Schizosaccharomyces pombe: one gene and its partner. The protein of the gene in region 1 interacts with the protein of each later gene in a biochemical or structural test. Each region holds a gene or a part of one and is shown in the gene's direction. Other genes may lie near its edges.

Region 1 (3,300 bases):
TCCTTTTTTTTTTTGGAAGGTTTCTAGCTGTAATATAGCCATTTATAAACCCTGTTTGAGATGTCTGTTTGTCAAGCGAGATTTTTTTCATGTCACTCTTTCGTCTTTTCTTTTTAACACCCGATAGGTCGCTGTATAATACAAATTCCCTTTATACATTATTAGATTAGTCTTGTTCTTTTTTGTACATGTGTTTAATATGGCTTAACAAAGTGTAATCTATAATTTCTTCATTTATCAAATTATTGGAATATTGCTAAAGTAGCGAAGTTCGAATTGTACGAGAGTAAAATTTTGAGAGTAGTGCACAGTTTGTATTCACCAAATTTCTATCCTCAACCCACCACCAGTTGGAGGTAAAATTGCGGTAGAAAGGCAACCATGGCTGCCACAACCGGTAATATTATCAAATTTGAAGAAAATGCAGATTCGAAAGATTTGCTGGAGCAATGCTTGAATTGCTCTGATGTTGGTGTTGTATCCAACACTGTTCGCAATATGGATGGTACTATTGCGGCTGATTTAGCTAGAACTTTAATCCCAGCCATGTTGATAAATATGCAGCCATCCCTTGCGATTTGGTTGCATTGGATTATTGTTACACATGGTGGATATTTGACCACCGTCATGGATTTGCAGGATTCACTTGTTCAGTTACATGAAAAGCTTGTACAAAGTGCTCATTTAATGACTAAAATTTTTTCTTTGTCCGGAAAATTAAATATGGTTTTATCTCAGGAAGAGATGAGGCAACGTCGACTTGATTTTTCGAGTGAAGATGGAGAAGAAGAGGAGGAAAACGATTACATCGATGAGGATGTGGATGAAGCAGGCTACGATATAGAGGTAGTTGATGAAGCAGAAAATGATGACATGGACAATGATTTGGAAGCAAATGCCGATGCGTTTGATGAAAGCAATTTGGAAGCTTCTTTGTCGCCAAATGCAGAATTATCACCTAGAAAAAGTCACATTGATCATGACTTTGTCATCCCGGAAGATGAAATGCTTTCTGAAGAAGAGGAACAAGAGGTGGAAAAACAAATTCTACCTAAATTTGTTGTCCCCGAAAGCCCAAGAAAAACTAGTCGCAAATCTCGGTAAAATCGGGAATACCTCTGTAAGAAAAAAATCATTCCTTTTGCATAACTTCTGTTTTCTTTTGATCATAATAAATAGAGTGTCTTGATCAATTTACAAAGCTCTACTTTTTTTCCTTTATATTTTATTGGTTCCTTGGATATTAATATTTGGTGCCATGAGAATGACGCTTTATCGTTTTATGGGTACGTGTTGGAATTCGGAAATTGTTTTTACTTAGTTTTAATCTATACATAAATAATATGGATACACCATACATGTATATAAACAAACCAAGTTTGTAAGTATTTGTAGATTGTGTGACTAACCTGCAGTCGTATCGTATATTTAGCGTGTTCATTCGAAAGTATGCCCATAATTTAATCATGAAGCCATTTGTTGGTTTGCTCAACAAATTTATAGTTCTACATTTCTTTTCATCTTCTCGAATATCAAATGTTAAGACAATTTTTGATATTTTGTAATAGCGCAATATTTTTTTCATTGTATCCAATATCAATTAGTGTAGTGCTGTATATATTAACAAAAAAATTGAAATAATATTAATTTATTAACATAAGTAAAACCTCCATAACTCTTGACAAACTACTCTAAAATTTTCTGCCAACAACCAACTACTTTAAAAATGGGTTTTTCTGATCTCACCTCTGACGCTGGTCTTAAGCAACTTAACGACTTCTTGCTTGACAAGTCTTTCATTGAAGGGTAAGTCATTTTTGTGCGGAAAATGCATCAAAATAATAGTGAAATACCATTTGATCACAAATCGTATTTTTTTTCCTTTGTTAAAAGTTCCCTATGGCATATCTACAAGTGCAAAGACTATTTTTTAAAGCCCTCTCAATTAGACACGATAGCCGTCTTTTAACAAAAAACGTGAAAATGCTTTGTTTGTATCTTTTCACTGAGCTTGATGTTTTTTAATTACCAAATCCTTTCTAACGTTTTATAGATATGAGCCTAGCCAAGCTGATGCTGTAGTCTTTAAGGCTGTTGGCGTTGCTCCTGATACTGCCAAGTACCCCAACGGTGCTCGTTGGTACAAGCAAATTGCCACTTATGACCTTGCCACTCTTCCTGGTACCGCCAAGGAGGTTTCTGCCTATGGTCCTGAGGGTGCTGCTGCCGCTGAAGAAGATGAGATCGATCTCTTTGGCTCTGACGAAGAGGAGGATCCTGAAGCTGAGCGCATTAAGGCCGAGCGTGTTGCCGAATACAACAAGAAGAAGGCTGCTAAACCCAAGGCCGTTCACAAGTCTCTTGTCACCTTGGATGTTAAGCCTTGGGATGATGAAACCCCTATGGACGAATTGGAGAAGGCCGTTCGTAGCATTCAAATGGACGGTCTTGTTTGGGGTCTTTCCAAACTTGTTCCCGTTGGTTTCGGTGTCAACAAGTTCCAAATTAACTTGGTTGTTGAGGACGACAAGGTTTCCTTGGAAGCTCTTCAAGAGGAGCTTGAGGGTTTCGAAGATTACGTCCAATCTACCGATATCGCCGCTATGTCCAAGTTGTAAGTTGTTTTACAACTAAAGCGTTCTTCCGTTTATCAGGGAGGTCCTTAGGAATTACAAAAGGATCTTCTCCTCTATATTCTAATGTTAGAGGGGAATGTGTGGATATGGGAAAGCAAATAATTAAATTTGTTTTTGGTTTATATCTATCGATTGTTTCATAAAGTACGATTTTTTTACCTCAATCGTGTTGTAAGCGTGTAAATCTGTATAATTAAGAAATATGGGGTTCGAACGGTGTATTTTATGCAATTCAAGCAATGGTAATTGACATAGAAATGTATGACAAGTTATTTTTTTTGCATCAATCATGAATACTGAAATTACGTCTCTAAAGCCCAGTCGGGTATTTACGATTGATGACTGTAATGTATGGGCAGTAAGTGAAACAATCTGTTTAATTTGGATGATCCAATACCATTTTTTTATGCTGCGGTTCTTTGCAACAGTCCTGCGTAGATCAACTCATATTTTTACTATTTCGACAATTGTTTTACACTTCTCAAAATTGGGTATTATTTAGAAAATACTCTTTACGATGAAATGTATATGAAGAAAAATAACTTTGAAAATGTATTACTAAAATGAATAAAACAACTAGCAACATATAGAACATAAGTTAATATGATTCAGTTAACAACGTTAAGAATACATTAAACAGTAGATGAGAAAAAGAATTTAAGTA
Region 2 (3,194 bases), on another chromosome or scaffold:
TCTAAAAGTAAAATCGATCAACTCATAAAATAACATTTCACTTTGCTGCACTGTAGATTTTTCTTATCAAATCTATTGGTGTACTAAACAGACTAGCTAACGTTTGCTGATCCGATCGACTATAGCAGCACACTCACTCTCTATACCATAAGACGTTGCCGAACCGACATCTATCGTCATTCAAATAATCTTTGGATTTGGTAATTTTAGTCGTTTACATACGCTACTTAGTATTTTTTTGGATTTTACGCTTTTCTACTAAAGTATACGAAAATTAGACTACCTTTCGTGAACAATATAATTGACCAAATCTTAGAGCTGAAATTTTTTGAGAAATATGTCTTATATGCATTCTTTAAACCTGATGCTGCAAAATCCCAGCGGAATTGACAAAATTGCTGCCATTCTTGTCAACGTTGCGAGGTTGGATCCAGCATCTTCGAAATCAACTGCTCAACTGGTTTCTATGCTAAATGAATTTCGATGTATTTTACGTCTTCCTGGTCTCTACAAATTAATCGTAAATTTTCGTAAAGATTCTTCTCCTGAAACTTACATGAGTAACGCAATCAATATTGGATACTATGTCACAGAAGGATTGGCATTCTTAGGCGGCAAACAGATTATTTCCATATCAAAACCGTTGGAAGACAAATTATGGCTTTGGTCTTCTAGATTTTGGCTTCTCGATACTTTATTGACCATTTACCAGCTTTTGCGTGAAAAAACAGAAGACGAAAAGGAGCATCAGTTAGACTTAGCTTCAAACTTGGCTAGCCTTCCTTTGTGTATTCACTGGTCTGTAGAAAATGGAGCTGGTTTACACAAACACCAAATTGGAGTTCTTGGTCTTTTCAGCGCAATTGTACAAACTAGAAAACTAATCCTCTCTTTGCACAATAAAAGAGCTTAGTTACGAATGAGCTTTTTAAATTTAAATAGAAGTTACTTTTTTCATGTAATTCTATTCGTGCTCAACTATTTTTCGTTTTCTCGAATGTCTATGTGAGTAAAGTAGTAAACAAAAGTGGTAACAGTCGTCTTGGTTTTTTCAGCAAAAATCGAAATATGCCATTCTAAATGAAGGGACTGAATCGGTTTAAAGCTTGAAAGGTTTTAGAAATGAAGTCGATTTTAATCGTTAATCCATTCCATTAAAGCGTTTTAAATTTTGGGATATTGATCGAAAATTTAATCAACGGAAAACATTAAGTTACTCTTTGTTTGTCACCAAAATGTACCTTGTCATTTTTTTCTAATTGAACTGAATATCTTTATTAACGAGTGTTTTTAATGGCCCTGCAATTTCAAATTGAGGATGTACGATATCATACTTTTAAGTATATCATATATAAACGTTAAGGAATTATTATCAACTATAATGCACTACTTTTTTAGGTTTCTTCTGAAGCTCAGTACTGTTGAGAATGTTCTAATTACGACTCAAGAATTGACGGATAATAGCTCGAATAATAAATTTGAGGCGACATAAATGGTTACAAGTTGATTAAAGAACATAGAGATTAATACACATACTGTTAAATATGGTTCAATTGTTGAATTCATTTGGACTTTAATTCCAGCTTTAATCTTAATTTTACACGCATCATAATGGTTTCACTCAAAAAATCAGATTCAGTAATATAAAACAATTTACTACTGACTGAGTACAACGATATTTTCATCTAAAAAAAAATCTGAAAATATAAAGAATATTGTTATTTAAAAGAAAGGAGAACAGACTACGACAAATTGAAAAAAATGAAGGAATTGGTAAACAAAATGTATCTATCGAAAACAACGCTGTACTACGTAAAGTGAATACTGTTCGTAACCGCATTCCATACGGATGGCTAGAATCCAGTAACCCTGCCCTAAACTGTGACTGCTTTATCTCATTAAACCTGCGAGAAGTCAAATTATGAGCTACCATCTGCAATCACCATGTTGTTGTACAAGGACGTTATTTCTGGAGACGAACTCGTTTCTGACGCCTACGACTTGAAGGAGGTAGACGATATTGTCTACGAGGCTGATTGCCAAATGGTCACTGTCAAGCAAGGTGGTGATGTTGACATTGGTGCCAACCCTTCTGCCGAGGATGCTGAGGAGAATGCTGAAGAGGGTACTGAGACTGTAAACAATCTTGTTTACTCTTTCCGTTTAAGCCCTACTTCTTTTGACAAGAAGTCCTATATGTCTTACATCAAGGGTTACATGAAGGCTATCAAGGCTCGTCTTCAAGAAAGCAACCCCGAGCGTGTTCCTGTTTTCGAGAAGAATGCCATTGGATTCGTCAAGAAGATTTTGGCTAACTTCAAGGACTACGACTTTTACATTGGTGAGAGCATGGATCCCGACGCAATGGTTGTCTTAATGAACTACCGTGAGGATGGTATTACTCCCTACATGATCTTCTTCAAGGACGGTCTTGTTTCTGAGAAGTTCTAAATGCAAATTTGGGTTCTTATAAGGGAGTTTCTAACTGGGAACATGATATCATGTCTAAATTTTATAGTTTTGTGAATTAGTTTTCACAAAATTTCATTAGGATTAGAACAGGGGTTTTTGTTCTGATAATAATTAATTATGCTAGCTTATAATCATGTTCAAATTGAAATTAGTGTTTTTTTATCGATTTTGTATTTGGTTGAATGGAAGATTGAGGTATCGATGTTTTAAAACGTGTGTGCTAAAATTCATGAATCTATTTATATATTAACAGGCCGAAATAATTTAGTAAGTAAGGATATGGTTTGAAATTTGGTATTTTACCATTAATTTAGTGTATTTTTTTGCTTTTTATCGAAGTTGATAATTCAAGTCCTTTACGAGGAATAGCCAAACTTTTGTTATGGCGACACTAGACGACCCGGTAGCCATTGAAACTTTGTTACAGTCGAAACTATAGTTTACTGTTAGTACTAAAGATTTGGGAAATTTTTGCTCGACGATGTTATTTTTGTAGCGGACGACTATTGGATTAAATTTATGCTTAATTGTTAAGCCTTTTAATCAATCTTATCATTGAGTTAATAGACTAGTTGCATTTAATTTTGTCAATGTATATTGTTACGTTTAAATAGTAAACTATATAAGCAGTTTAAATCAACGAGTTTAGCTACAATATTCCCCTAAGTGAAATATATCATTTAAAAGCACTAACAAATACGCATAATTTAGGCATTGTACTA

Evidence for each region.
Region 2: the proteins of tef5 (region 1) and tma19 form a complex in vitro, tested with the Schizosaccharomyces pombe proteins (one study listed by BioGRID).

Annotation. Positions count from the first base shown.
Region 1 is NC_003421.2:1,731,048-1,734,347, forward strand, and holds tef5 (translation elongation factor EF-1 beta subunit, guanyl-nucleotide exchange factor (eEF1B)), read left to right. Parts: upstream 1-1,703; 5' UTR 1,704-1,726; coding exon 1,727-1,806; exon of another isoform or gene 1,807-1,947; intron 1,948-2,053; coding exon 2,054-2,618; 3' UTR 2,619-2,800; downstream 2,801-3,300. Other genes in the region: ribonucleoprotein complex protein Utp502, read left to right, coding at 382-1,104.
Region 2 is NC_003424.3:3,808,785-3,811,978, reverse strand, and holds tma19 (translationally-controlled tumor protein), read left to right. Parts: upstream 1-1,931; 5' UTR 1,932-1,944; coding exon 1,945-2,451; 3' UTR 2,452-2,634; downstream 2,635-3,194. Other genes in the region: SPOM_SPAC1F12.04C (uncharacterized protein), read left to right, coding at 338-913. UniProt on the Schizosaccharomyces pombe protein: Involved in calcium binding and microtubule stabilization. May be a guanine nucleotide-free chaperone (GFC).